Linked DNA regions of Macaca fascicularis. The protein of the gene in region 3 purifies or fractionates together with the protein of the main gene of each other region. This does not show direct contact. Links are inferred from orthologs where the notes say so. Each region holds a gene or a part of one and is shown on either strand. Other genes may lie near its edges.

Region 1 (10,324 bases), on a different chromosome or scaffold from region 3:
TCTACCTTGCCTTTATAGTCAGTCTCCCTAGTAACCTATAAACTTGAGTGCAAAGACTTTACTACTCAACTGTTAATTGCCTGGGGGCCTTGGGCATATTAAGATTCATTAAAATTGTATGTCCTGGGAGGGACAAAGATAGGGAGAGAAAGAGAGGTTTAGAACATTAAAACTGTATAAATGTGAAAGTCCCCTTGGTTAGGATTCAAGACAGACTGAAAGATGCCAGATTCCTCATATTAGCACTTCACAGTGCACCAAGGTGCTAGTGCAGTAAAACTCACGTTAACTGTCATCTCATGGGCACCTACTATGTGCCAGGTACTAAGCTAAACACTTACCATTATTCTCCTTTAATCTTCATACAACTCTGTGAGGAAGGCATTATTTCCTTATACAGATGAGACACCCAAGGCTAAGAAAGGGGAAGTGACTTATTCAAAGGCATGTGTGTATCACACCAATATTTGTCTAACTTCAGAGTCTTTGACATGATCTCCACAGTAAAGCTATCACTAATGGCAGGCACGATCAGTCTTCTTTGGGCATTGAAAAGAATAATGCAGGAGAGTTAACATAGCAGGGCTGATCTTGAAAAGGGCTGGCTTACAAGGCTGGCCCTAGGCTGGCAGCCAGGAACTTGGCTTTTGAAATGTTCCCTAAGTGATAAGGTTGCTGCTTTGTCAGCCCAGGGCACTGAACAGCTGCTTTCCTTCCAGGAGCCTGCAATTTTGTTAGTTATTACTGGCAGAGAATGCCTACATGAGCAGTCCTCCATAAAAACCCTGAACTCAGAGTCTCAATCTGTATCACTGCACACATGTTTGCATTTCACTGCTGAAGAAAGAAGCATGTCTGTATGATCCCACCCACTGGGAAGGAAAAAACATAGGAAGCCTGTATCTGAATTTCTCCAGACGCCACCTGATGTTGTGTTTCTCCCTTGCTGATCGCGTTGTGTGCCCTGTGTAATAAACCACAGCCCTGAGTATCACTGACTTTGAGTCCTAGGAGTCCTTCTAGTGACTTCCCAAACATGGAGGTCATCCTGGGATTCCTGGCCCCAATCACAAAAGCCAAAACAAACCAAACCCAAAACAAAAGTAGCCAACGAAACGCCACAGAGGAGACAGGGTGTCAGTAGAACAGAACCTTACTTCTCTGGATTGTCTGGAAACTTAATCCGCAATTCTTGGTTTTTATATGATCTCTTTTCAAATGTGAGGATCATTTTCTTCACTGAGCTTTCATCCAATGGCTCCTCCTGGTACAAAGAGACAAATGCAACAACTTCAGTCCCCAGGGGTTTCACATTCACTGTCACTACTTTCCGGTGGCTCTTATACCCCACCTCACTCTGCCATTGATCTTTCTGGGTTAAATGTACAGTACACACCTTTTTTTCTGAGATGGAGTCAGGCTCTGTCGCCCAGGCTGGAGTGCAGTGGTACGATCTCAGCTCACTGCAATCTCCACCTCCCAGGTTCAAGCAATTCTCCTGCCTCAGCTTCCTGAGTAGCTGGGACTACAGGCACATGCCACCACGCCTGGCTAATTTTTTTTTGTATTTTCAGTAGAGACGGGGTTTCACTGTGTTAGCCAAGATGGTCTCGATCTCCTGACCTCATGATCCACCTACCTCAGCCTCCCAAAGTGCTGGGATTACAGGTGTGAGCCACTGTGCCCGGCCACAGTACACACTTTATCTCCCCGATTACAATGAGGATTAAGGGCCTGTAATCACATGTTTCTTTTTGTGTATATCACTTTCGATGTCTCACATAATGCCCACTATCTGTAACACAGGAAATTCAGTTTGAGGTGTTAAACACTGACTGGGCACTTCAGCACTTCAGCACTTCAGGAGGCCAAGATGGGTGGATCACCTGAGGTCAGGAGTTTAAGACCAGCCTGGCCAACATGGAAAAACCGTTATCTCTACTAAAAATACAGGCACACGCCTGTAGTTCCAGTTACTCGGGAGGTTGAGGCACAAGAATCACTCGAACCCCGGAAGCGGAGGTTGCTGAGATTGTGCCACTGCACTCCAGCCTGGGTGACAAAGGGAGACTCCATCTCAAAAAAAAAAAAAAAAGAAAAGGTGTTAAAGACTCACTCATTCAACAAACATTTCTTGAGCACACTGTGTGGCACAGAGTAAGCAACAATATTAGATAATATTATTATACATTTACCTTGTCTTCCTTTGCTATCCATGTAAGATAAGACTGAAAGGTTTAAAAGAATTGTTTAAGGTCAAACTCTGGGTCAGTGACAGTGACCCTTAATCTTTTCCTACAGCAGAAGTTGGCAAACTGCAGCCCATGAGCCAAATCCAACCTACTGCCTGTTTCTGTACAGTGCGTTAACTAAGAATGGTTGTTAATTAGCTACAGTCACTGCTTAGCATTTCTTATATATTACTTTGCCTGGTCCTTACTAGATGCTGAGAAGGAATTCAGACAGGTACTTTGAATCCTGAAGTAGCATCAAGAATTTAGTAACCCTGCCTAGAGAATGCAGAAAAAAGCTAGTAGACCATACAGAATTTTCTGGCTCCATACATTGGAATAATACCTATGAAAGCAAATAAAATGAATATTTGAAAACTAAATCATTTTTTCTCCAAAAAATCTACACTAAAATTTCACACATTTTATCTTCAGTTTACCTTCCAGTTTAAATTAGTGTGCTGCAATGCACCCTGCTTCTCTCAATACTATCCCAACTCAAAGCTTCACAGCTTTGTAGTCATTGACCATAACTCAAGCCTAAAAGCGATAAAGAAACTGCTATTAAGAGAACCTGAAATAGATCCTTTTGGAAAGCACTGAATCATCCCATAATTTTATAAGTACTCAAAAATGTTAGCTATTATTCTATTATTAAATTTCTATTTCCACATATTGGGCTTTAAGTGGGAGCTACCCATAAATTCATTTTCGGCATGACACATTTCTTAGATTATACCAATGATTCCTAGATCCCAAGGTTCTCTATCGAACCCCTACCTCCTCCCCAGGGTCTACAGCTTAAAGAGAGGTTCCCTGATGTGGTAAAAACAAGTCAGAGTCCTGGCTCAGTCAAGACTCAGAGCCTAATTTCACTACTTACTAGCCATGTGACAATGTTACTTTGCTGAATATATTCCTCAAAGCTTCATCAAGTCCAGCTAATTCTAACTCCTAAATCTTTCCTGAATTCATCCACCACACACTGAGAATAAAATCCCAAACCCCTCACATGATCTATGTAAGGATCTGGCAGGATCTGCCCAGATAATCTCTCCAACCCCAAACCAGGGCAAAGACCCCCATTGCTAGCCCATGTCTACTTGTTCTGTGGCACAAGTAGACTCTCCAGTGTCTGGCACACAGCAGGTACTCCGTGAAGATCTGAGGAAGGAAAGAAGGAAAGAAGGAAGGGAGGAAAGGAGGAAAGGAGGAAAGGAGGAAGGGAGGAGGGGAGAGGAGGGGAGAGGAGGGGAGGGAAGGGAAGGGGAGGACAGGGGAGGGGAGGGGAAGGGAGGGGAGGAATGAAAATGTTACCTGTATCTCTCAAGGTCATAGAGATGACCTAAAGAAAATATGTACATAAAAGTGCTTTGTAAACTACATGAATGCAAGCTGTTATGGTTATTATTAGCAACAGGCACAATGTACCCAACATCCCACTAGAATTTAACCAAAATAATCAAAACATTTCTAGGAAAGAGTTAAATCACTTTCAAGCAAGCTCAATATCTGCTACTTTTCTTTTTCTTAGCTAACATCGTGCCCCACTCTGGAGAAAAACCACATTAGTGTTAACACAGCTCTCACGGGATTTCCGAAGTCCTAGCCTCTCCAGAGTTTGGCCTTCCCTCCTTTAATTTCTCTCCAACACTGGGGGAAACTGAATTATCAGTCTTAGTCATCAGCCACAGCAGTATCTCCAATAGCTCAACGTCAGAAACCAGAGGGAGATTTCAGAAAGATGAATGCTGGTGATGTAGCACAAAAAGGACAATAATATTTTACAAGTTCACGTGACTTTACAGGGGCAAGCATCACTTGTTTTTCATCAAATGGGACTTTGGTGGCAGTGAGAAAATAACTCCTGGACTTGTAGCCTTCCATGTGTCATTTTTACAAAGTGATCTCTTTTTCCCTGTCCCTTAACAGAAGGGCTGGTCCCACATTACATTTCTGTCTCCCAGGCTAGAAACCACTTACCCATGACAGCTACTATCCTAATCCTCCAGTACCAGCCTTGCCCTACATGGGAATTATACCTGCCAATTAACTGCTGCTGCAGGGCTAACAGATTGAGCAGAAGCTGGTGAGGAGGGAAAGGAGGGAGGATGTGCTACACACACTGTTTGTCTAAGCCCTGGCAAGGCTGCTGCCCTCAGAGAGGAAATTCAAAAATTCAGGACTGTCTCCCACCACATATTTCTAAAGTGCCATCATCTTTTAGGGGCAGACCCCCAAATTAACACTAGTACAAATCCTAATAAGGAAATAGCTACTGTCACAACACAGTAAAGACCTTTTTGGAATATGAATCCATTTTTTCTTCTTCTCAGATTCACACGCCAGCCTCATTTTTTAAATCCAAACTTAGCATCGTGTCTTTGAGGGAACCAAAAAACAGCTGGCTCTTAAGACTCTATTTCCATAATTCATATTGAACAAAATGCCAGAGTGAAATAACATACAAGTTAACACTTAAAGATTTAAAAAGACACAGAGGTAAGGTCATTTTGTTTTTAATCACTGATATTTTACCTCCACTCTTCCCAGCTTCATTTATTCATTCAATAAATATTTATTAAGGGCCCACCAAGAGCTAGGTATTGCTCTGGGTACCAAAGATAGAGCTGTGAACAGAACAGAGCCAGTCTCTGTTTTCATGGGAGGTTGGGAGGAGGACAGCAATGAGCACAATAAACAACTAGAATTTCAAATCATGATACGTGCTGTGCAGACAATATACAGAACACAGTGATGAGGGAATGAGAGAACGGCTTGCAGGGCTACACAGGAAAGACTTCTTGGAGGAGGAAACATCTCACTGAGACCTGAATGTGAAGAAACCAGCCATACAAAGCATCAAGGAAGAAGAGCATTCCAACAGAGGGCACAGAGGTCCGAAGGTCCAGAGGCAGGAATGAGTGGAAAAGCCCCAAGGCATCTTGGGGAACAGCAAAGAGAAAGGCCCTGAGGAGTCTCCTTCCCTAAGCTGTACTTTTGCAGTCACATCTAAATATCTAACAATGTGGCACCCCCTTAAACTTCTCCACTTTTGTTGCTTTGCTAATACCACCATTTTCTCTGCCTAAAAAGCCCTTCCTTCCACTTGATAAAATTTGATCCCTCTTTCAAAGGTAATAACACAAGTGCCTTCTATGTGTCCTCAGTAAGATCCAGGAAGCCTGCCTGGATAATTCGAAAACTCTGTCTTGTTCTTTACATCTCACAAGATGCTTTCCCAACTGCCCTAGCCCACTTAACCTTCACATTAACGCGATGAAATATGAATTCTTAACCCCATTTTACAGATGAAGATGGGAAGCTCAGACAAGCTGAGTATTTGGCCCAAAATTACATTCTATAGGGCCGGCCATCTCAGCTCCCACCCATCGCTGCCATGTTACCTCTTCCTCTTCCTCTTCCCCATCTCTGTCAATAATCTGAAGCAGCCTTTTTTTGTCATCATCCGCTTCTTCCACCACAGTCATTTCTTCTTCCCGATAGCGGCCACGTTCTCGAGTACCAGTTTGTTTCCGACGCATCTTCTGCTCCTCCTCTTCATCATCCCGGGGACGTTTTGTGCCCCTATTGGGCTGAGAGAAAAGAAACACAGGATTTTAGAGCTGGACATGACATAGAAGCTGGGCATGGTGGCTCACACCTATAATCCCAGCACTTTGGGAGGCCAAGGAGGGCAGATCTCTTGAGCCCAGGAGTTTGAGACCAGCCTGGGCAACATGGTAAAACTCTGACTCTACAAAAAAAAAAAAAAAAAAAAAAAAAAAAAAGACTTTGCAAGGCATAGACAGCAAATATCCTAAAAGCTTTCAAGAATTCTCTGACTCAAAAGCAGCCAGCATACAATTTCTCCCACCACATGGAGTAAAGCTCTATGTGGTCATTTTTCAGATCCTTAATGATTCTATAAATATACCATGAAAGTCAGTGGGAATTTTTTTATATACAGTTTTGCCATTTCACAAAAGTTCCTATGTATATGGAAATAGCAACAAAGCTATCTTAAGATGGCGACGCCAGGTTAGGCTCATGTACTAGTCAAGATATAACTCCCAATGTCAACCTCTTAGCACCTGGTTTTAATTCACATCTATGAAAGATTACAAAGCTTTCTCTACAGTTACTCACAAGTAGTCCAAATATAAAATATTACATATGTAACTTCTGAATGTCTACTGCACTCCCAATTCTATTTTACAGAAGAGTTGAGTTAAGGCCCAGAGCCTGGGCAAAGGACCTAAATAGACACTTCTCAAAAGAAGATATACAGATGGCCAGAAGATACATGAAAAAAAAAGCTTACCATCACTAATCACCAGGGAAATGCAAAGAAAAACCACAATGAGTTATCATGTCACGCCTATCAGAATGGCTATCATGAAAAAGACAGAAGATAAAGCGTTGTTGAGGGTGTGGAGAAAAGAGAACTCTGTGCACTGTTGGTGGAAATACAAATAAATACAGCCATGATGGAAAACAGATGGAGGTTCCTCAAAAAATTAAAAACAGAATTATTATATGATCCAGCCATCCCACTTTTGGGTATGTAACCAACAGAATTGAATTCAGTATGCTGAGAAGATATCTGCCCTGTGCGTTGTAGCGTTATTCACAATAACTAAGATATGGAAGCAACCTATGTGTCCGTCACTAGATGAATGGATTTTAAAAAGTATATATACACAATAGAATTCTACTCAGCTCTAAAAAGCGGGGAAATTCTGACATTTGAGACAACCTAGATAAAACTGGAAGACATTAAGCTAAGCGAAATAAGCCAGGCACAGAAAGACAAATACCTCGTAATCTCACTTGTATGTAGAATCTAAAAAAGCTGAACTCATAGAAGTAGAGAGCAGAATGATCGTCACCAGCGGCTGTGGAGGAAGGGAATGGAGGGAAATGTTGACTGAAGAGTATAAAGTTTCAGTAAGGCTGGGTGTGGTGGCTCACACCTGTAATCCCAGCACTTTGGGAGGCCGAGACGGGCAAATCACCTGAGGTCGGGACTTCAAGACCAGCCTGACCAACATGGAGAAACCCTGTATCTGCTAAAAATATAAAATTAGCCAGGCGTAGTGGTGCATGCCTGTAATCCCAGATACTTGGGAGGCTGAGGCAGGAGAATCGCTTGAACCTGGGAGGCGGAGGTTGCGGTGAGCTGAGATCGTGCCATCGCACTCCAGCCTGGGCAACAAGAGAGAAACTCCGTCTCAAAGAAAAGAAAAGAAAAGAAAAGAAAAGTTTCAGTTAAACAGGAAGATAAGCTTTAGTAACTTATTGCACTGTATGCTGAATATAATAAATAATGCACTGTACATTTAAAAATTGATAAAACAGATTTTAAATATTTTCACCACAGAAAAAATATTAAAGGTGATGGATTTGTTAATTAGCTTGACGTAATCATTCCACACTGTAGACATATATCAAAATACCACCTTGTACCCCATAAATATATACAATTATTTGCTAATTAAAAGTTTTTAAATCAAATATTATAATAATAATAATAATAAAAGCCCAGAAGCCAAATATTACATAAGATCACAAAACCATTAACGCACCCCTGAAAACAGAACTGGCACTTCCAGACTCCTAGGCCAAGGACCTTTCTACCGTACTCTGTTAGGACCTCATTTTGCCTTTTATTGTTGTTGTTGTTGTTTACTTTTTAGAGATGAGGTTTCACTATGTTGCCTAGGCTGGACCTGAACTTCTGGACTCCAGCAATCCTCCTGCCTCAGCCTTCTGAGTAGCTGAGACTACAGGTGTGTGCCACTGCAGCCAGCTCATTTTGCCTTTTACAATGCAATCAATTAAGAAGTTCTTAGTGTTGTTTTCCATTAAATTAGAATAAAACAGAGCAGTAGTGAAAGGGGCTTCAGAGCTGAAGAGACAGAGCACTGCCCAGACACCAAACAGCCCAGTGTCTCCATTCAGCTCAACTTACTCCTGATTCGACTCTGGGCCGGTCGCCTACCTCTCTAAACCTTAGTTTCCTTATCTGTAAATGGACATTATAATTCTTTCCTCTGTGAACTTCAAGTGAAAGAATTCTAAACCATAATGGTATTGAACAAATACCTAAAATCATCACTGTGAGGTAATCCACATGATTCTGTCTTCTCCAACAAAACATTTGTGTTAGATTCTTCAATGAGATTTTCTTTATCTGATATAGTAATCACACCCACCAGCAATATGCTTGGTGCAATGTGGTCCGTTACTACCAAACAGAAGAAAATGCCACTTTCACTGCCAGCCTGCTAAGTTGTTTGGTAATAAGAGAAAATTTTCTATTATACATGTTACACATCTTCCCTTTTGACTTTTATTGAACTGTACTCTGCCAGTGGTAGAAAGGCATTCCCCTCTTTATTCATGTTTCCTGCTTGCTCCACATCCCAGGTGCTTTAGTAAGTCTGAGCATATGACATTGTTGAGAAAACTCACATTCGACAATTTAGTTTGTAGGGTACCACCTGCTATTTTTCACTCTCTTCCTAGTCTCCCTGAGCTAGATGATAATTTCATATGAACACACTCTATTTTCCATAAGGACAAAAATTACAAAAATCTACTATCATCATTACTACTCTACCCTAAAAAAGAAAAATAAAAAGGAAAGCAACATGCCAGTAACCACAGACAAGCTACAAATAAAAAAGGAGGTGGTGGTTTTCATGTAAGAAGAGGAAGGGAAGGTAGATTCATCCTAAAGGAGGGCAGCCTTCCAACCGGAAATCTGTAGCTCCTCAGCAGGTAAGGAACTTCAGCCCTCTGGGAAGACTAATTCTTTCAAGCTCATAAAAGAAGCCCTGCTGCGATTCTGATTAGCGTGAGCCTACTGCAGCAGCCAAGTCAAGGCATGAGCTCCATAGTTCTCCACGGAAAGGAGATTTCTAGATTGTTTATCTCCGAGGAGAGAAAGAAAAGTTAGTGGGCCACAATTAAAAGGAGAAAGCTAAATATTGCCACAGTTAAGAAATGCAAAATAGAAAAATACACTAGCAATGTCTCTTTAAACACATCCTCCAATCCTCTCCTTTAAAACAAACATTTCAGAAGTCAGGGGAGGACGGCCACTGCACTCCAGCCTGGGCGACAGAGCGAGACTCTGTCTCAAAAAAAAAAAAAAAAAAAAAAAAATTCAGGGGAGGAGTTTCATTTATTTAATTCCCATTAAAATGGCACTTTTCTTCTGCAGAACTTCAATCTTCACCACATCTCTGGCAGTGAGAAGCAGTTAACAGCTCTATTTTATAACAGGAAGACAGGATGCCTAAGATCTTTTAATAAACTCTGGCAAAGACAACCTGGTCCCTTCTCAAAGGTGAATCTGATCTCTGGAAAACGCCAATCTGCCAAGATTCCAGGACCCTAACTGAGACAGATCTGAGGACTTTTCAGGCAAGAACATTCACCTATAAATATGTCACATAAGACCTTGGTTACATTAAAACAATACTTTTTAAATCATTAATTCAACAAATAACTTACTAAAGAGTCATAACGCTTGAAGGGTCTTCAAGCAATCAGCTGCCAGTCCCAGGCTTCCAACAGGGTCATGTATAATTAGGGACACAGGGATAAACAGGGCCAGTGTGGATTCTTGAGACAAGAATAACTCTGTTAACTTTTATTAATAGTGTTTAAGTATAACATCCCTAAGAGGGCTACCTTTAAGTTCACCAACTGTTTCTCCAACCTTCTCCCTCACACACAGTATTCAGCTTTAGCTTTAGCTCCTCATGACAACTCTCTGGCAGAGCCGAACCCAACTGCGACAGCTCCCTCAGCAACACAGCAGCTCCCAACTCCCTCTCCAACAGAGAATACGCCATGCAAAGGCTCTGATATGGTTTATTTCCACATTTCTCTTCTAAAGGCAAAAACTGTAAGAACTTCTCTTCATTTCTCTTCTTAACCCGCAAATGTCTCTTTTTCAAACACTAACACTGCAAATCGAAAAGTTTTGAATCATTCCTGAGATTTGACCACTCTGAATAATAAGAGTTAGGATTCATTTCTTCAACTAAGTGCCAACTGTATGAGGTACTGTGATGGGT
Region 2 (10,324 bases), on a different chromosome or scaffold from region 3:
TGGGGTTTTGGCTTTATGTTTTAAGAAGGTTGTAATTTGAACTTAAGAGTCAAAGTTGAGAGTTCCCAGGTCAGAAGGAAGTTGAATTGAGGCCTGCAAAGGCATGGTAAGATCAGCAACTGTGTTTTGGAGTGGGGAGAAGGGGACACTGGAATTGAAGTTTGGGGGAAGTTTATGAAGGGAATCGTTTGCCAGGATAAGTTTTAAACTTTAATAATATCACCACCAGGATGTGAGTACCTTTGCTAGGCACTGGGTTAGGTACTGGACATAATTCTCTTTTATAACCACCCAGCAAGACAGGCATTATTGGTATGAACTTAGTTAATTCATACTTTTTTTTTTTGAGACGGAGTCTTGCTGTGTTGCCCAGGCTGGAGTGCAATGGCACCATCTCGACTCACCGCAACCTCTGCCTTCCAGGTTCGAGATTCTCCTCCCTCAGCCTCCTGAGTAGCTGGGACTACAGGCGCACGCCACCACACCCACCTAATTTTGGAATTTCTAGTAGAGACAGGGTTTCACCATGATGGTCAGGCTGATCTCAAACTCGACATCATGATCCACCCACCTCAGCCTCCCAAAGTACCAGGATTACAGGCTCACGTGAGCCACCGGCACCCAGCCTGTTCATACCAGTTTTACTGGTATGAATTTAGTTTGAGAATTTGCCAAAGACCAGTTTTTAGTGGATAGGCTCAAAATATTTGAAACATAACCAACTTTGTGAACTCTGTACGAGAAGGCAAACAATTGTGGCCCTTTAAGCCCGGGTTGGAGTGTTACTGGCTTCACTGGGTGTCTCTGGGCAGCCTTAAAGATGCTGAAGGGTGGGGGTGGGAGGGCTTGGTGAAGAAATTAGGAGGTGCAGAAAGAACAGGAGATGGCCAAAGTCAGCCTAGTTTGGTTAAGAAAAAAATTTGGCCATGTCTTTGGTGTTTACCAAAGTGGGGAAGCCTTCCCCAGTGGGGAAGCCTGTCATGGACTTCAGGCCATGGACTCAAGGATCTATGGGACCAGGCCTAGGATTGGCTGTGCAAAGTAAACAGCAGGCAGATAATCATGCTTAAGAGTGCAGGTAGGGCTGGGCGCAGTGGCTCGCACCTGTAATCCCAGCATTTTGGGAGGCTGAGGCGGGTGGGTTACTTGAGGTCAGGAGTTTGAGGCCAGCGTGGCCAACTGGGCAAAACCCCACCCGACTCTATTAAAAATACAAAAATGGGCCGGGCGCGGTGGCTCAAGCCTGTAATCCCAGCACTTTGGGAGGCCGAGACGGGCGGATCACGAGGTCAGGAGATCGAGACCATCCTGGCTAACACGGTGAAACCCCGTCTCTACTAAAAAATACAAAAAACTAGCCGGGCGAGGTGGCGGGCGCCTGTAGTCCCAGCTACTCGGGAGGCTGAGGCAGGAGAATGGCGTAAACCCGGGAGGCGGAGCTTGCAGTGAGCCGAGATCGCGCCACTGCACTCCAGCCTGGGTGACAGAGCCAGACTCCGTCTCAAAAAAAAAAAAAAAAAAAAAACAAAAATGGCAGGGTATGGTGGCTCATGCCCGGCCTCAGCACTTTGGGAGTCTGAGGCAGGCGGATCACGTGAGGTTAGGAGTTGGCCAACATGGGGAAACCCCACCTCTATTAAAAATACAAAAATTAGCTGGGCATGGTAAGGGGATGGGGCGCCTGTAATCCCAGCAACTCAGGAGGCTGAGGCAGGAGAATCGCTTGAACCCAGGCAGTGGAGGTTGTGGTAAGCAGAGATCACACTACTGTACTGGGCAATAGAGTAAGCGAGACTGTCTCAAAAAAAAAAAAAAAAAAAAAGGCCAGTTGCGGTGGCTCACACCTGTAACCCCAGCACTTTGGGAGGTCAGGGTGGGCGGATCATGAGGTCAGGAGACGACACCATCCTGGCTAACATGGTGAAACCCTGTCTCTTAAAAATTAGCCAGGCGTGGTGGCACGTCCCTGTAGTCACAGCTACTCGGGAGGCTGAGGCAGGAGAATTGCTTGACCCGGGAGGAGGAGGTTGCAGTGAGCCGAGATCACGTCACTGCACTCCAGCCTAGGTGAGAGTGAGGCTCTGTCTCAAAAAAAAAAAAAAAAAAAAAAAGTGCAGGGAGAACACAGGCAGCAAGTGGCCACAGACCTGGTGAAACCACTGCTACAAATGGGCAGCACCCTCAGGAGACTAGCCAATGCTCTTCGGAGACAGAGGGACTAGCCACAGGGTTCTTAAAGAGTAGCAGAAGAATATTCTAGATTAAGTCAGAATATCTTGGACTTGTTAACTAAATTAGTTCAATAATGATCAACTAACATATCTAGGTTAAAAGGTTATTTTCATTCCTCAGTGTTACAGTCAGAATATTTACAGAAGTATTTATTTTAAAAGTAGACTTAAAAAAAAAAAAGTAATTTAAAGCTCCAAGGTGTATTGTTTCATGTAGGTGTTACTGCTACCTATACTTTCACCCCATTTATTAAGCCCAAAACACTTCAAGCAACTTCAGGTTCATAAATTAATAAGGAGGTACAGAAGCCCAACCAGGATGGGACAGAATGTGTTCCAGGTTGGAAGGGGACAGCATGGCTCCTCAATGGTCTTGTACGGAACACTTGTGCTGTACTGTAATGAAGATTTTCTTCCTGAAAATCTGAATGTGACCTTTTAGATCCTCTGGTTGTTGGTTTAGTCTCCGGATTATAATGGTGTGCTGGAATCAGGTGGTTGACTAGAAGGTCAATCCAAGCTCCTAGGCCCCCCTCTCTTGTAGGCCTCAATTATCCACCTGTGAGGCTCAGGAGGGCTGACCAACCTGAAGGTTGGGAAAACTTGCTTAAATGAGGAATTGCCATTTCAGCATAAACTGTCCTTAATTCTACTGTAGAAATTGCTTTCATTCTGGAGATGGTGAGTCCCAGAAGATCATGGCCAAGATGATATCCTAAGTGGCTTCCTCTGAGAGTTTATGCCCAAGAGGGAGCCATCTGGCCACTTGCTTCTTCTTACATTTCTAATAGCTGCTCCATTTCCTTAAGGGCTGTTGTTAAATCATTTACTTGATTGTTACATAAGGTTTGCTGTTCTAGGAATCGGACTCTTTCTTCTTTCATCTCCAGCTTTACCTTTAAGGCCTGCATGGAAAGACATTCCAAAGGAAAACAACACATACACAAAACTCTTGACTAACAGGAAACACAATACCCACATTATGCTCCTGTTCCACTAAGGAAGACCGCTGGAGTATCAACAGAGACTGTATCTTCTATTTTAGATTTTGCTTCTACGTGCTGGTTTTAGGAATTGTCCCCCTAGTAGTAGAGAGGGACTAGACTCCTGTATCTCTAGGTTTGGGGCAATATCCCATGATTCATCCAAGCAATCTGAAGCAGTCCAGACCAAAGAATCTGTGTTTACTACAGGTCTCCTCCTCAAGTCATCAAGTTTCCATAGAAAGGATTACATACAGTTCCCAATTCCCAACTCTGAGCAACCTACTGTGTTACACATTGCCTCATGCCTTGGCAATGTGAACATTTCTAAGAGGCCTCGCTAACAGAAAGAAAAAAAAATTGGTGGAAAAAACTGCTAAAAAATCCAAATGAAGACTTGGAATATAGTTAATAGTAATGTACTGATGTTGGTCTCTTTTTTTAAAACAATTTTTTCCTGCCGGGCGCAGTGGCTCACACCTGTAATCCCAGCACTTTGGGAGGCCAAGGCGGGTGGATCACCTGAGGTCAGGAGTTCGAGACCAGCCTGGCCAACACGGTGAAACCCTGTCTCTACTAAAAATATAAAAATTAGCCGGGCGTGGTCACAAACGCCTGTAATCCCAGCTACTCGGGAGGCTGAGGCAAGAGAATCTCTTGAGTCCGGGAGGTGGAGGTTGCAGTGAGCCGATTATCATGCCACTGCACTCCAGCCTGGGGGTAAGAGCGAGGCTTTATCTCAAAAAAAAAAAAAAATTATATTTTTAGAGACATAGTCTCACTGTCACCCAGGCCGGAGTGCAGTGGCATGATCACAGCTCACTGCAGCCTTGCCCTCCTGGGCCCAAGTGGTCTTCTCGCCTCAGCCTCCTGAGCAGCTGGGACTACAGGTATGCACCATCTCTCTCTCTCTCAAAAAAAGTATATACTGTGAGTACCTTTGCTAGGCACTGGGTTAGGTACTAGACATAATTCTCTTTTATAACCACCCAGCAAGATAGGCATTATTGGTATGAACTTAGTTTATTCATACTTTTTTTTTTTTTGAGACGGAGTCTTGCTGTGTTGCCCAGGCTGGAGTGCAATGGCACCATCTCGACTCACTGCAACCTCTGCCTTCCACCACACCTGGCTATTTTCTAAATTTTATTTTGCAGAGATGGGATCTTGCTATGTTTCCCAGGCTGGTCTCAAACTCCTGGCTTCAAGTAATCCTTCGACCTCAGCCTCCCAAAGTGCTGGGATTACAGGCATGAGCCACCATGCCTGGCTGATTTCTTAGTTTTGACAAATGTACCAGGATAATGTAAGATGTTACTGTTGGGGGTTGGGGGAGGGAGTGCATCAAGAAGAATAGCTAATAGATGCTGGGCTCAATACCTAGGTGATGGGATGATCTGTGTAGTAAACCACCATGGCACATGTTTACCTTGTAACAAACCTGCACACCCTGTCCATGTACCCCTGAACTTAAAAGTTGGAAATTTAAAAAAAAAAAAAAAGTATCAGGGTAAATTTTCTGTATTATCTTTGTAACTTTCCTATAAATCTAAAATTATTTAGCAAGTTTATTAAAAATAAAAAGAAAAACAGGAAAGAAATCTACCTATCGTGGTAGAAAATGGTCAGGGTGATGTCTGCCTCTCACCTGTAACTCCTCCATCTGCTTTTTGGCTGTTTCATTAAAAAGCTTCAGCTCCTCTTGCAAAGTTTCTAACAGCAACTAAGAGGAAAGTACAATGTAGTAAACAAATCTTCATATAAAACCAGACCTGCATTAGATGATGGCTAACATCCCTTCCACACAGTTCTCAACAAAGGAGTCAGGAAATTTGATACAGTATAGAACAGAGGAACCAGAAAGCTCTCTCTACAGGTTTACCTATCACGTGTTTTAAATTTTCTTTTTTCTTTTTTTTTTTTCTTTTTTTTTGAGACAGAGTCTCGCTCTGTCGCCCAGGCTGGAGTGCAGTGGCCAGATCTCAGCTCACTGCAAGCTCTGCCTCCTGGGTTGACACCATTCTCCTGCCTCAGCCTCCCAAGTAGCTGGGACTACAGGCGCCCGCCACCTTGCCCGGCTAGTTTTTTGTGTTTTTTAGCAGAGACGGGGTTTCACTGTGTTAGCCAGGATGGTCTCGATCTCCTGACCTCGTGATCCACCCGCCTCAGCCTCCCAAAGTGCTGGGATTACAGGCGTGAGCCACCGCGCCAGGCCCCACGTGTTTTAAATTTTCAATTCAGACTTACCTATATTTGTAAGCACAAAGCTACCTTTCAAGTAAAATATGCTATTTTGAGTGCATGTTCCATTTCTCTTTTCTACCATCGCAGATAATCAAAGGTTGTTTCTTGGGGTTTATGGAACATATAGCAGAGACCTTCTTAGATTTACAGAGCCCCACAGTCACTCAGCCCTTGTGCCCTTTCGCACCCATTCCCTCACCATAGAGTCCATGTGATCGGTAGTAGATTCTTGTCGTGATGCCAGGGTCTCACTGCCTAAAGCTGACGGATACAACAAAGTCAACTTCACTTAGGGAACTACACACTTTAAACCAAAAAAAAATAAAAACCCTCCATGAACAAGTACAGAAATATTCATGAGGGGAATTTCTCTTAAGTGTCTAATCCTGGACTTTCTCCCAAGTTTTCACCTTGGCAGGGTCACCCACATCTGCCCTGCAGAACTGCATTTTATCTCCTTTCAATCTAGGTTTGGATATGGCCAAAAATTCTGTATACTTTCTCCTTAGGTCAGTGGACAATTTGTCCAAAGGAAATGTATAGGTTGGATTTTTTGGTTTTGTTCACAATTTAAGAGCCTTTCAGGCCTTAAAAATTATTACTTTTGGTAATATCACATGCATGTAATAAATTAAAATCATACAAAATATTTATGGTGTCAGTTGTGGTGACGCATACCTGTAGTCCCAGCTACTCAGGATTGCTTGAGCCCAGGAGTTGGAGGCCAGCCTGGGCAACATAGCGAGATCCCATCTCAAAAAAAAAATTTTAAATTTAAAAATATGTATTTTACAGTGACTATAAAGAATATCCCAGGTCGGGCATGGTGACTCATGTCTGTAATCCCAGTACTCTGGGAGGCTGAGGCAGGCAGATCACTTGAGGTCAGGAGTTTGAGAACAGCCTGGCCAACATGGCGAAACCCTGTCTCTACTAAAAATACAAAAATTAGTTGTGTATAGTGGTACATGCCTGTAATCCCAGTTACTCACGAGGCTAAGGCACAAGAATCACTTGAACTCAGGAGGAGGAGGTTTCAGTGAGCTGAGATCACGCCACTGCACTCCAGCCTGGGCAACGGAGTGAGACTCCATCTCAAAAAAAAAAAAGAATATCCTCACCTGTAACCTAAAGATTAACCAGTAACATTCAAAGTCAGTATTCCTTAATACAAAAAGGCCTGGGCCCATTTCCTGGGCATTCTCTAGCTCTTTGACTCAGGCTGAGGCCCTCTTACAGTCTTTGGACAATTCTTTCTACTGCTCTCTTTGCTACAGATTCTGCTCTCTGGGGGACAGGGTAACAGTAGTCATTTTTTAGTCACTGTAATTCTACTGATTAGCCAGGTTTAAGAATGCTTGAAGTAGTATTTTCTGTCTCTTCCCATTTGAGAAGTTACTAGTATGCTTGCGAGGAAGAACATGTTCAAACAAAATGTTCCTTTCAAGCACACTAGTAACTTTCCCAAATGGGAAGAGACAGAAAATATTCTCCCTTGAAAGGAACAAAATATTTCTCATCTACTTGCAAGGTCATACCTGTTGGCATAAAGTGTTCAGGTAAGAAAGAGATAACCTTCTCTCTATATAATCCTCTGAAATTCTATTGGCCAGGCAAAAATCAACATCACATGAAAACAAACAGAAGCCCTCCAAAATCTTTAGGGCTTTACTGAAGTAACCCCTGCACTTACTGGGCCAGCTGATGCCATGCTGCCAAGATCAACCCAGGAAGGGACACATGCACTGATCCCTTCAAAGACAGCTAGCTGTGTGCTATCTCTTACCTGGATCAAGGCCCTTGCTCTCCAAAATTGCCAAACAGTTGTCCCGAAACTTCTCCAGCAGCTCTACCTTTTGGGTCAGGTCCTTCAGCTCTCCCTGTTGGAGCACCGCACAGACAGATCAGGAACTGTCCCAATCCCTAGGGGTGGTCGCCCTTTCTTGCCCTTGCTCTTGGACAGCCATAGCAAAAGCCTGTTTTGTTTTTTTTTTTCTGCCCTTGGGCATTTGTGCATTAACAAGCTTGCTCACCCAAGGGGCCATCCATCAGGATTCCATGTGCATTGCCCAGTGGCAGCTGGTAACAGAGCTCTGGTGGGTCTCTTACCTGAGTTTCAGTCAACTTCTGGTGCAACTGCTTGTTGACGGCTTCTAAGAGCTGGTTCTTGTCCTTGAGCTCGTCCTCTGATTTTTGCTTACTCAGTGGTTTGTAGCTGTAATAACAGTTGTACTTACATGAAAAGACAAAAGGGTTAAGAGCATGGCCTACACCAGGCGCAGTAGCTCACGCCTGTAATCCCAGCACTTTGGGAGGCTGAGGTGGGCAGATCACCTGAGGTCAAGAGTTCAAGACCAGCCTGACCAACATGGAGAAACCCTGTCTCTACTACAAATACAAAAATTAGCTGGGCGTGGTGGCGCATGCCTGTAATCCCAGTTATTTGGGAGGTTGAGGCAAGAGAATCGCTTGAACCTAGGAGGTGGAGGCTGTGTGAGCTGAGATTGCACCATTGCACTCCAGCCTGGGCAACAAGAGCAAAACTCCGTCTCAAAAAAAAAAAAAAAAAAAAAAATGGCCTACAGAGTTACACAAACACGTCCTGTTCCTATCCTGGCTATTTACATAGTGGTTATGACCTTCAGTGAGTTGCATAAGCTCCCTGAAGCCCTGTTTCCTCATTTTGGCAATTAGGACAATACCTACATCTCATAGTATTATTATTAATAAGAGAGAAAACCCATGTGCATTTCTTAGCCCAGTAGCTGGGCTGATATGTAATAAAATAATATAATGTTTATCATCTAATAAACTCTAATATCACCAATATTAGAGTTTTTTCTTTTTTCTTTTTTTTTTTTTTTTGAGATGGAGTCTCGCTCTGTCGCCCAGGCTGGAGTGCAGTGGCGCTATCTGGGCTCACTGCAAACTCCGCCTCCCGGGTTGACGCCATTCTCCTACCTCAGCCTCCCAAGTAGCTGGGACTACAGGCACCTGTCACCACACTCGGCTAATTTTTTGTATTTTTAGTAGAGACGGGGTTTCACTATGTTAGCCAGGATGGTCTCGATCTCCTGACCTTGTGATCTGCCCGCTTCAGCCTCCCAAAGTGCTGGGGTTACAGGCGTCAGCCACTGCGCCGGGCCTAGAGTTTTTTCTTAACGTTCTCAGTCTTTTTTGTTTTGTTTTGTTTTTTTGAGATGGAGTCTCCCACTGTCGCCCAGGCTGGAGTGCAGTGGCCAGATCTCAGCTCACTGCAAGCTCCGCCTCCTGGGTTTCCGCCATTCTCCTGCCTCAGCCTCCGGAGTAGCTGGGACTACAGGCGCCCGCCACCTCGCCCGGCTAGTTTTTTGTACTTTTTAGTAGAGACGGGGTTTCACCGTGTTAGCCAGGATGGTCTCAATCTCCTGACCTCGTGATCCGCCCGTCCTGGCCTCCCAAAGTGCTGGGATTAAGGCTTGAGCCACCGCGCCTGGCCTCAGTCTTTATTGCTAGTATTTTGTCTTCAAAACTTTTTTATTTTTTTAAGTCAGAGTCTCGCTCTGTCTCCTAGGCTGGAGTGCAATGATGTGATCTTGGCTCACTGCAACCTCTGTCTCTGGGAATGAAGTGATTCTCCCGCCTCAGCCTCCTGAGTAGCTGGGATTATAGACATGCGCCACCACGCCCGGCTAATTTTTGTATTTTTAGTAGAGATGGGGTCTCATCATGTTTCCCAGGCTGGACTCGAACTCCTAACCTCAGGTTATCCACCAGCCTTGGCCTCCCAAAGTGTTGAGATTATAGGCATGAGCCACTGTGCCCTGCTATCTTCAAAACTCTTAGGATAAGCCCAAATAATAGATCTGGAACTAAAACCTATTTGTACAGACTTTTCAGCGTATTATTTCTATTTCTGATAGTGCAAAACTTCGAAGCTAGCCTCAAAGATGAGAGATGAACCTTCTCTCCCGGATTTCACCACCACCAGAATCTTCATCTCGAGATCACTAACTACAGGCAGCCCTTCCTCTCCTGAAGGCTTCACCCTCCTGTTGATGGGCCATAGCTAAGTGTGATTTCTGATCAACAGTGGTCCTGGCGTAGAGTCCAAAAAGCTCTTGCTTGAGACTCAAGATAGTAGCACCACTGATTCTTGCACTGACAATGGTTCTTACACCTAGCTGTGCCTCACCCCTGAAAATTCCACGCAGGTTCCTGAGGTGGAACCCAGACCCTAACACAGTAAACAAGTCCCACGAGTGATTCTGATGCAGAAACAAGGATTGAGATCCACTACCCTAGAACAGTGGCCAAGTTGATTTACCCTGATGCTCACCCTTTTCTGACATTCCTTCTGGTGGTGGTATCAGTAGCTTTCATTTGCCTAGGAGGGCAGAAACAAAGAAATGAATCAGAGACTCATAGTACTGTTAAGTGTGCAGTGAACAGGCAGAACAAAGAACTTGAGTTTCTGAGGAAAGAACCAGGGATGACATACAAGGCAAATGGCACAAGCTTGAGAGCTCTGAGGGACTATGCATTATTGTTTCAGCACAGACTATTGAAAAGGCTTATTAGTAGCACCGGGGCATGACCCCGACCACCCCAACATCCTGACAGAGCTGCTCCTCTCAAGATGGCGTGGCTATCTCATGTCAACCTCACTCACCTGGGAACTGAATGCTGGCTGGGGACACACACACACACTACGCTAGGGCTGGACTGTGGTCAGACCAGCAACCTAGGGTAACAACTAGTCCCCACCCCACATGACTACCCCTCAGGGTTGGCGTATGACTACAGTGCTGCCATTTGTATCCTCAGAGCAAGCGATGAAAGAGGAAAGAACACCTCTCATAGCCCTGGCTGTGTCTCTTCAGAAAG
Region 3 (10,324 bases):
TTGATGTAAGAGTCAGGAAACCCGAGGTCTTGTCCAGGGTCCGCCTCCTGTTGGCTTTGTGAATTGGCTTAAGGCTCTGTGCCTCGGTTTCCCCATCTGCAAAATTGAGAGCATTGCACTGGATATTTTGTGAGGCCTTGCTCGGATAGTCGCAGCTTTTGCAATTTGTAAAGGTCACATGATGAGTTAGAGGTAGGCAAGGCTGGCAGCTAGGTATATGGCTCCCAGCCTTACAGTGTATGACTAATTAAAAACAGCGCACATTTATAAAGCCCTTATTGGTTTACAACGCGCTTCCAAGTCTAGGATCTCATTTTATCCTCACAAGAATTCCCTAAAGGAGAAAAGATCCTGGTGTTGCAAATGAGGAGGCAAGGCTCAGGAAGAGCGGGGCTTATCTAAGAATGCGTAGCTAGTCAATGGCAGAGCTGGGTGACGTAGTTAGGTGACACGGAGTTTGGAGCCTGAATCCTTGCTTTTTCCATACCTTCCACTATCTTTCCCTTTGATATTTTATCATGACGTACATACGTTTTCCTTTCCCTTTTCGTTGTTTCATCAGATTACTCGTTTCCCCTCCCTTTTGCTATTCACCTCCGTCTCTTCTCAGAACCTGTACGTTGATCCAGAGAGGGGGAAGAAGGAAGGGAAATGATGGAAAAGGAATCTCTCACATTGAAGAAATTACAGCTCGCAAAGTACCTTCACATTCATTGTTTCCTTCCAGTCTTGGGAAAGCTCTCTTTTACGTTCCCCAGCACTATCTTTCCTGGCAGGGTTCACTCATTCGTTAGATGTTTACCGAGTGCCCTGGGGGCATCTGCATTGTACTGGAAGTGAGAGACCAGCTGTAATCCTTATCCTCAAGGGGCGCACAGTCTATGCAGGCAAGAGTGTAAATGATACCTCTATTGCGGGTTGTTGTGAACATGAATTACTGTACTGTATGCCTAGAATTGTGCTTGGCACATAGACATGTGCCATGTAAATATTTTTATTGTAATGATTGCCACTTTGCTCCTTGGAATCTTCCAGGTGATAAGTGTCTGCCTGTATCCTAATCAGTTGACTGGTAGCTGGCAGACGTCAATAGCTTCAGGATGGGGACTGGTCACCTAGAAAGACTAAAGGGTATTAGAAAGTTGGGATTTTCAGTCCTACCTCCCACTTACCTGGGGAACGAGAGGGGCTGAAGTTGTCACTAGTGACCAGTGATTTATTGAATCATGCCTTTGTAATGAAGTTTTCATAAAAATACAAAAGGGCAGGATTCAAAGAGCTTCTGTATAGCAGAACATGTGGGCGTTCCTGGAGGGTGGGGTGCCCAGGGAGGGCATGGGAAACTCTGTACTCCTTCTCCCATACCTCATCCTATGCACCTCTTCATCTATACCCTTTGTAATATCCTTTATAATAAACTGGTCAACATAAGTGTTTCCCACAATTCTGTGAGTCACTGTTGAAAATTAATTGAACCCAAAAAGGGGGTCATGGGAACCCTGATTTACAGCTGGTAGATCAGAAGAACAGGTCAAACAACCTGGAGCTTGCGATTGGCATCTGAAGGGGTGGGGGAGTCTGGTGGGACTGAGACCTCAACCCGTGTGATCTGACACTATCTCCAGGTACCTGGTGTCAGAATTGAATTGGAGGACACCCGGATGGTCACATCTGTCACAGAAGTATTTTGTTTTGTGAGAGAATGGGAGAAACTGAGTTTGTTATTCCTATATTCTCAGACTTTATGATTTCTTTGATAATCCCTCTGGAGCTATAGACTAAGATGGATGGAAGGGATTTGAATGGCTTCATGTGTGTCTCCATGTCATGGAGTAAACTGTATTCATAGAGTACACAATCATTGTTCAGATATTAGGTGGCGATAATGGACTGCTGTTCTCTAGGTGCTTGGCACATAGTAGTTGTTAATAATTATTTGTTGACTATCTGATTGTCAGGAGACTAAAGGAAAAGCTAGTTCCACAGCTGGAAAGCGTTCTGGGGCCAGTACAGAACTGGCTTAGGGTCAGATGTCTTGCTTTTTGCTAGTTGATTGTGAGGATGCCTAGTCTTGTTGGGGCTAATAGCAGATGAGGAATCCTCTAGGCTCAAGATTGCCTTCACTCCAAGCTCACTGCCGGCCTTTTCTCTACAGTCTCTAATGAAGTGCCGGAGCACCCATGTGTGTCCCCTGTCTCTAATCATGTTTATGAGCGGCGGCTCATTGAGAAGTACATTGCAGAGAATGGTACCGACCCCATCAACAACCAGCCTCTCTCCGAGGAGCAGCTCATCGACATCAAAGGTGCCTATTGGCTGCCTTAGTCTAGGGCCATCTTAGCTCAGAGCCTGAGAGGATGGGAGGTGGTGCCAATGCACTGGAGGAGGAGATGGTGGGCTGTTTATGGCTAAAAGGAAAAGATGTGATGGCAGGGGAGGTCCCTGGGTTATGCTCTTCATACCTACTTTCCCTTTCGGCAGTTGCTCACCCAATCCGGCCCAAGCCTCCCTCAGCCACCAGCATCCCGGCCATTCTGAAAGCCTTGCAGGATGAGTGGGTGAGTTCCTGCAAGAGAATTAGCATCTTCCCCACTTGAAGAGAATGCATCGCTGAGTTAGGACTTGGGGGTGGGAAGGATGGAGAATTATTTAGATAATCATCATCAGGGTTTTGTGACATCAGGGTTTTGTTTTATTCTTTGTTGTATCCCCAGCACTGAGAGCGCCTGGTACGTAGTAGGTGCTCTAGAATTATGAACTGAATGATTGAATACATCCTGCAGGACTGTCTGGCACAGTGCCTGACACAAAGAGGGCAATCAATAAATAGCAGCAGCAGCAGTGTTGTTATCCACTTTTAGAGAGGTGACGGCATGACAGCTGGAATTTGCCAGTAAATTAGGGAAAGTAGGGATGGGAAAGAGCTGACTGCCACTCCTGTCTGTGTGCCCAGTGTTTGGCTTGGGGTAGGAGCTCAAGAGTGTCTGCTGGCATATTCATGGTGCTCGGATATTGTTTGGGTCACTGATACTGGTCTAGGCTGTGGGATAGGAGGCAGCATCCACTCCCCAAGAGCTGGCTCCACTGGGTGCTCCCTGCGCCCCCCGCCTCAGCTCACAGTAATATTTGCCTCTCCCAGGATGCAGTCATGCTGCACAGCTTCACTCTGCGCCAGCAGCTGCAGACAACCCGCCAAGAGTTGTCGCACGCTCTGTACCAGCACGATGCCGCCTGCCGTGTCATTGCCCGTCTCACCAAGGAAGTCACTGCTGCCCGAGAAGGTGCAGCCTGCCCCCTGCCATCCCCCACCCTGAGCTGGTTCTGCTTTGTAATATCCCATTTCTAACATCGTCTTTTCTCTCAGCTCTGGCTACCCTGAAACCACAGGCTGGTCTCATTGTGCCCCAGGCTGTGCCAAGTTCCCAACCAAGTGTTGTAGTAAGTGTCCCCCTTCCCTTACCACAGCCCATTTGTGTGCAGTGGCCCACAGAGCTGTCCTTATGTAGGTGTCTTTGGTGCTCTGTGCCCCTCACCCTCACCTTTCTTCTCTTCAGGGTGCGGGCGAGCCAATGGATTTGGGTGAGCTGGTGGGAATGACCCCAGAGATTATTCAGAAGGTAAGTCCTGCTCTCACCTGGTGGGAGTGCTGATGGGCCCTTACTTTTCCCCATCTGTCTAGAGTCCATCGTGACTAAAATCGCTATGCTTTTGGGAGTTGAGTGGTGCAGAGCGTGGATTCTGGGCCCAGATTGCCTGGGTTTGTATTTTGATGCCACTACTTGTAAGCTACATGACCTTGGCTTCCTTAGCCGATTTCCAAGTTTCATTTCTGTAGCTTCTAAACTGAGAATATAATAATATCCACTTTATAGGCTTGATGTGGGAATCTAAATGATTTAATTACTGATAAGTGCACCTTTTAGCCCTTATTGTTTTGGGTATTATTTGCAGATAGTAAACTACTTTTATATATTTTCTTGCTTTTTTTCTATGAGGGCAATAGGACAGGAATTATAATCCTTATTTTACAGATGAAAGACACATCAGAGGCAGAGCTGGGCTCCTGATTGCAAGTCCAGTGGGATTCTCATTTGCAGGGCTTTTTAGTGTCTTTCTGAGCAGTTCAAATTGTCAGCATGTGTCTGAGCCCTTGGCTGAGTGGCATGTAGACCTATGGGAGCTCTACAGTCCTGGCCTCCATTCCTGCTCTGCTATTTATCACCTCTGCAACCTTGGGCAATTGACTTCACTTCTCTGAGGCTCAGTGTCCTCAGCTGTAAAATAAGGTCATCAACACCCCCCTTATAAAGCTGGGATGGAAGTAAGAAGAGAGAATGCCTTTAAGCCTGTAATGTAGAAATTGGCAGATAGCAAATTCTGGGTGTTGCTTGTGAAAGCACAGGTGTGACCAGCATCCAATGTGCTTTTCTCCTTGCAAGATAATTTGTCTCACATTGAGCCTATTCTTCCCCAGCTTCAAGACAAAGCCACTGTGCTAACCACGGAGCGCAAGAAGGTGAGTTCTCTTTTGAAGCCAGGAGAAAGAGCTGGCCTGGTGGGAGGCAGTTGACCCCTTAGGAGAAAGGGGGCTGGCTGATCTTGGATTCATTGCTGCTGTACTTTGGGGGCTTTTTCATTTTCTCAGAGAGGGAAGACTGTGCCTGAGGAGCTGGTGAAGCCAGAAGAGCTCAGCAAATACCGGCAGGTGGCGTCCCATGTGGTGAGTGTCTGGGTCTTCACTGTCTTGGAGACAGCCCTCCTGTTTTGTGTCTGGGGTGGGTGGGCCAGCATGGGGAGTGCTGAGTACAGAGCTGTCCCGGGCTCCTGGCACTGTTCCTGGCGCTGTTTCTTGCCTGGGCTGCTGAGCTGTCAGGGCTCCTCTTCCTGCCCAGTTGTGGGTTTCCCAGTGATGCAGTGAAGGAGTTACCGCAGCAGGCAGATAGCCAAGAGATATGGATAAGGAGTAGAAGTAACTCTTGCTCCCCTGAGAACATGGGTGACTGGGGATGGCAGTAGGGGAGACCTGTGGCTTTGTGGCCTGCTGTGATTTGGCTGTGACAGGGTTTGGTGTGTCTCTCTGCAAAGGGGTTGCACAGTGCCAGCATTCCTGGGATCCTGGCCCTGGACCTCTGCCCGTCTGACACTAACAAGATCCTCACTGGTGAGAGTCTGGGCCTAGCCCAGCAGGCCAAGGTGGGGAGGGGCAGCGGGGAATTTGCATGCGCCTTGTCCTCTTCATGGGCATGGGGACAAAAGCATTTCCTTCAGCAAAAGGGCCTGGGTGGGCCTGACTCATTGTATGGTCTCTTTGGGTCTTCTCCAGGTGGGGCAGATAAAAATGTCGTTGTGTTTGACAAAAGTTCGGAACAAATCCTGGCTACCCTCAAAGGCCATACCAAGAAGGTCACCAGCGTGGTGTTTCACCCTTCCCAGGTAAGGGGTTCTTGCCACCTTTGGATCTTCTTTCCTTGGCTGTTGTTTGTCCCTCGCCCCCCTGCTGTCTCTGTGAAGTGGGGCTGAGAAAGAGCGCTGACTCCTGAGTGGGCACTTGGAAGGGCTTCACTTTGGAGTTGTGGAGATTGCCCTTCACTCTGCGTGAGACCTTCTAAAGCAGTGGTCTTCCAGCCAGGGAGAGAAGGGAAATGTGTAGTTTGACAAGCATATTCATTGAAAAGTTTTATATTAGGGAAAGAAAAAATCTTATAGTGTTCGTCATATAAACTACAGAAAACAAAGCTCAACTCAATCTCAACTCACAGGTATGAGGAAGACAGATGTATTTGCTTTCTCATGACCCTCCGAGACGGGTTAAAGTCATGTTGACTATTGAAAGTGGTGTGGGTTGTAAATAGAACCTCTGGTTTATAGGATAAAGGTAACTCATGGGACTGGATTAATGATATTATGGGATTCGAATTTCAAGCCTAAGACAGTTTGGGTTTGGGGCTGCAGGACAGTGGTTGGTTTAGCGCTTCCCAGTCGAGCTTTCCCTTGGACCTTAGGGAAATGAGAAATGTAAGAATGACATGGTGAATTTTTCATGACTAAATTACTCAAATCGAGGGCACTGTTTTCTTGCTTATGGGGTATTAATAGTTAGGTCTCATGAAATTGTATTGATAAAGATGGTAGTTATTTTTGCCTTGTGGCTTTTAATATCCTAACTAAACAAAAAATTGGTGAGTGAGTGATACGAAATTCTCTCCCTGCCCCAAATCTTTTGGAAAACTAACTTACCCTGGAAATCCATAAATGTGGGATGCACTGAAATACAGCCATGCAGCCCCTTCGAGTCCCCGTACTGCCCAGACCTGTGCCATACAGTACAGTAGCAATTAGCTACATGTGGCTACTTAAATTTCAATGAAATAGAATAAAAAATTCAGTCCCTCAATTATACTAGCTACATTCTTCCTTTGGTCCTGGAAATGGGAAAATTGCTCTCTGTTGCAGTTAGCCTTTTTACCACTAGATGGCGCGGACGCCTCCACAAGCCCTGATGATGTATGAGTTACGACTTGAATAGCGTTTACCATTGGCTGTTGTGGGCACCTTTGGGTGGGTAGGTGGTTCCAGGGAGGGCAGGGCTGAAAGGTGAAGCAATTGTTGGTAGTTTTGGGCATCCCCTGCCTCCTTTTATAACATTGTTTTGATCTGTGTCTCTTCTCTGACTCTGATACTCTGTCTTTGTTTTCCTTGTAGGACCTGGTGTTTTCTGCTTCCCCCGATGCCACTATCAGGATTTGGTCGGTCCCCAATGCCTCTTGTGTACAGGTGGTTCGGGCCCATGAGAGTGCTGTGACAGGCCTCAGCCTGCACGCCACTGGTGACTATCTCCTGAGCTCCTCCGATGATCAGGTGCGGTCCCAGCCAGTGCCCTGGAGAGGCTTGCTGGTCCCCAAGCTTGAACATCCTGGGTGGCGGGAACATCTTCCCACCCCAGCTGCTTCCCCAGAACCTCAAAGGAGAATGTTTCCTCTCTGCTGGGAGGTGCTAGGTTTGCCAGGGTTTACCAGACCAGGGGCTCTGTCTACCTGAAAGGCCACCAAAGCCTGGGACCCACTTTCTCACTGACTCCATTCTCTCTCTCTCTCTCTTTTTTTTTCCCCCCAGTACTGGGCTTTCTCTGACATCCAGACAGGGCGTGTGCTCACCAAGGTGACAGATGAGACCTCTGGCTGCTGTAAGTTGCCTCGTAGGCGCTCAGCCTTTTTGTTTGCTATTTATTATTTACTTTTACATTTTATTTAGTCGTTTGCTTATTTGTTCTAAAGATACATTTACCATCAGCACCTGCCTAGTGCAGGCTTTGTGCTGGGTGCACTGAGGACCGTGAAGAACAAGGAACCTAACTTTGCTGCTCTTAGTCTCTCCCTGGTGGGCTCTGACCACAGGTCCGTCTTCCTCCTCCACAGCTCTCACCTGTGCACAGTTCCACCCTGATGGACTCATCTTTGGCACAGGAACCATGGACTCTCAGATCAAGATCTGGGACTTGAAGGTAGGACACGGTGGGCTTCCATCTGAGGCCCAGGGCCAGAGCGGGTGTTTGTGACAACGTGGTGCTGATGAGGTGCTTGTGGCACCTGGCACTGAAGGGGCCATCGCTGGCTATGCCTGTGTGATATGATGGTGTGGTCTGCGGGGTCCCGCTGGCTGGCCTTCCTGGAAGGACAGTGAGGGACATCTCAGGTAGGGGTTTGGTGAGCTCCATTTTCTTCCTCTCATGATCTGTGGGTGACGTGTTTTACTACCCACCACCACTGTAGGAACGTACTAATGTGGCCAACTTCCCTGGCCACTCGGGCCCCATCACTAGCATCGCCTTCTCTGAGAATGGTTACTACCTGGCTACAGCGGCTGATGACTCCTCTGTCAAGCTATGGGATCTGCGCAAGCTTAAGAACTTTAAGACATTGCAGCTGGATAACAACTTCGAGGTATGCCCTTCCCCCGCCCCACCCAGCTTTCCATTGTGTCTCCTTGTTTGTCGATTATTTATTGAATTAATCTAATTGCTTCTGCTTATCCGCAATTGCCCCATAGTTTCTGTTCCCCTTGTGTGACCTTCTCTCTTTCTGTTTCTGGCAGGTAAAGTCACTGATCTTTGACCAGAGTGGTACCTACCTAGCCCTTGGGGGCACGGATGTCCAGATCTACATCTGCAAACAATGGACGGAGATTCTTCACTTTACAGGTAGAGGCTGGTCCTGGGCTCCTGGGGTCTCTAGGTGCCCAGGCCCGGAGGGAAGCCTCACTGGGTTAGGAATTTCTAGGACTTGCATGAATTTACCTAAGCAGCTTTCGGTTACCACCTGAGGCAGAGCTTTATGGCTAAGGAAGCAGACTGAGTCAGACTGCGTGGCAGTGGATGCTAGTAGTCGCTCTGCCACTTCATGCCGTGTGGCATTGGGCAGGTTACTGAAGGGAGAGAAAACTCCTCCCTCTGAAGGTTTGATAACTGAATCTGAAATCAATGAACATTAGGCAGAGTGACAGGAGGAAAGCCATTTTAATGACGTGCATATGCATGGGAGGCCCACATTATATTAGACCTGCAGAAAGGTCAGATGATTGAAGCTTATACAGTCTATATATCCTTTAATAATGGGGATATGTTCTGAGAAATGTCTTATTAGGTGATTTCATCATGTGTGACCATTGTAGGGTGAACTCACACGTATCTGAATGGTGTAGCCTGCTACACACCAAGGCTGTTGCTATAACCTTAGTGTAGTCTATTACTGCTCCTGGGCTGCAAACCGGTACAGCATATTACATGTAGTGAGTACAGTTATAACACAGTGGTGAGTATATGTGTATCTAAACCAATCTAAACATAGAAAAGGTTCAGTAAAAATAAGGTAGAAGAGATTTTTTAAAAATGGTACACTGGTATATTGCTTGCCATGAATGGAGCTTGCAGGACTGGAAGTTGCGTTCAGTGAGTGAGTTGTGAGTGAATGTGAAGGCCTAGGACATTACTGTACACTGCTGTGGACTTCATAAACACAGTGCATTTAGGTTTTACTAAATTCATAAATAGCTTTTTCTTCAGTAATAAGCCTTAACTGACTTTTACTTTATAAACTTAAAAAAATGGATTATTTTGTAATAACATTTAGCTTAAAACAAAAACACATTGTACAGCTGTACAAAAATATTGTCTCTCTACATTCTTATTCTATAAGCTTTTTTCTGTTTTCTAATTTTTTTAATTTTTATTTTTTACTTTTTAAACTTTTCTTATTAAAAACTAAGACACAAGCACACATTACCCTAGACCTACACAGGATCAGGATCACCAACTGTGTTAGTCCGTTCTCACACTGCTGTGAAGAACTGCCTGGGTAATTTATAAGGGAAAGAGGTTTAATTGACTCCCAGTGACTGGGGAGGCCTCAGGAAACTTACAGTCATAGCAGAAGGGAAAGCAAACACATCTTTCTTCACATGGTGACAGGGGAGACAAATGCTGAACAAAGGGGGTAAAGCCCCTCATAAAACCATCAGATCTCGTGAGAACTCACTATCATGAGAACAGCATGGGGGTAACCACCCCCATGATTCAATTACTTCCCACTGGCTCCCTCCCACAACACGTGGGGATTACGGGCACTACAATTCAAGACGAGATTTGGGTCGGGGCACGAAGCCTAACCATAGCACCAACATCACTGTCTTCTACCTCCACATCTTGTCCCACCGGAAGGTCTTCCGGGGCACTAACACACGTAAACCTGTCATCTCCTATGGATGATAATGCCTTCTTCTCGGATACCTCCTGAAAGGGCCTGCTTGATGCTATTTTACAATTAACTTTTTTTTATAAGTGGAAAGGGTATGCTTAAAATAATACCCAAAAAAGTATAGGATAGGCATACCTTGTCTTATTGCACTTAGCTTTATTGTACTTTGTGGATACTTTGCTTTTTATAAATTGAAGGTTTTTGGCAACCTTGCCCCGAGCAAGTCTGTCAGTGCCGTTTTTCCAACAACATGTGTTCACTTTGTGTCTGTGTGTCAAATTTTGGTAATTCTCACAGTATTTCAAACTTCATGATTTATTGTGTCTGTTATGGTGATCTCTGATTAATGATCTTTGATGTCGCTATTGTAATTGTTGGGGGGGCACCATGAAATGTGCCCATATAAGATACTAAATCGATAAATGAAATGGTGTGTGTGTTCTGACCACTCCACCCACCAGCCGTTCCCCATCTCTCTCCCTCTCAGACCTCCCTGTTCTCTTAGACACAACAATATTGAAACTAGGCCAGTTAATAACCGTATTATGGTCTCTCTGTGTTCAAGTGAAAGAAAG

What was found.
Region 1: the proteins of PRPF19 (region 3) and CTNNBL1 purify together in Homo sapiens (affinity purification with mass spectrometry; 4 studies listed by BioGRID and IntAct, counting the BioPlex papers as one, with this or other methods). This does not show direct contact. The link is inferred for Macaca fascicularis from reciprocal best matches to the Homo sapiens genes PRPF19 and CTNNBL1.
Region 2: the proteins of PRPF19 (region 3) and KNSTRN purify together in Homo sapiens (affinity purification with mass spectrometry; 4 studies listed by BioGRID and IntAct, counting the BioPlex papers as one, with this or other methods). This does not show direct contact. The link is inferred for Macaca fascicularis from reciprocal best matches to the Homo sapiens genes PRPF19 and KNSTRN.

The regions. Positions count from the first base shown.
Region 1 is NC_088384.1:93,846,393-93,856,716, reverse strand, and holds part of CTNNBL1 (beta-catenin-like protein 1), read right to left. Parts: intron 5,828-10,324; coding exon 5,639-5,827; intron 1,265-5,638; coding exon 1,158-1,264; intron 1-1,157. UniProt on the Homo sapiens protein: Component of the PRP19-CDC5L complex that forms an integral part of the spliceosome and is required for activating pre-mRNA splicing.
Region 2 is NC_088381.1:16,883,611-16,893,934, reverse strand, and holds the end of KNSTRN (small kinetochore-associated protein), read right to left. Parts: intron 9,825-10,324; coding exon 9,777-9,824; intron 7,674-9,776; coding exon 7,568-7,673; intron 7,339-7,567; coding exon 7,245-7,338; intron 6,553-7,244; coding exon of another isoform or gene 6,509-6,552; exon of another isoform or gene 6,438-6,508; intron 5,720-6,437; coding exon 5,658-5,719; intron 4,938-5,657; coding exon 4,863-4,937; intron 3,137-4,862; coding exon 3,008-3,136; 3' UTR 2,367-3,007; downstream 1-2,366. UniProt on the Homo sapiens protein: Essential component of the mitotic spindle required for faithful chromosome segregation and progression into anaphase.
Region 3 is NC_088388.1:13,368,897-13,379,220, forward strand, and holds part of PRPF19 (pre-mRNA-processing factor 19), read left to right. Parts: intron 1-610; exon of another isoform or gene 611-887; intron 888-2,155; coding exon 2,156-2,305; intron 2,306-2,481; coding exon 2,482-2,558; intron 2,559-3,139; coding exon 3,140-3,281; intron 3,282-3,364; coding exon 3,365-3,438; intron 3,439-3,554; coding exon 3,555-3,617; intron 3,618-4,474; coding exon 4,475-4,516; intron 4,517-4,645; coding exon 4,646-4,720; intron 4,721-5,085; coding exon 5,086-5,161; intron 5,162-5,323; coding exon 5,324-5,433; intron 5,434-6,702; coding exon 6,703-6,858; intron 6,859-7,113; coding exon 7,114-7,183; intron 7,184-7,415; coding exon 7,416-7,501; intron 7,502-7,769; coding exon 7,770-7,940; intron 7,941-8,091; coding exon 8,092-8,197; intron 8,198-10,324. UniProt on the Homo sapiens protein: Ubiquitin-protein ligase which is a core component of several complexes mainly involved pre-mRNA splicing and DNA repair. Required for pre-mRNA splicing as component of the spliceosome.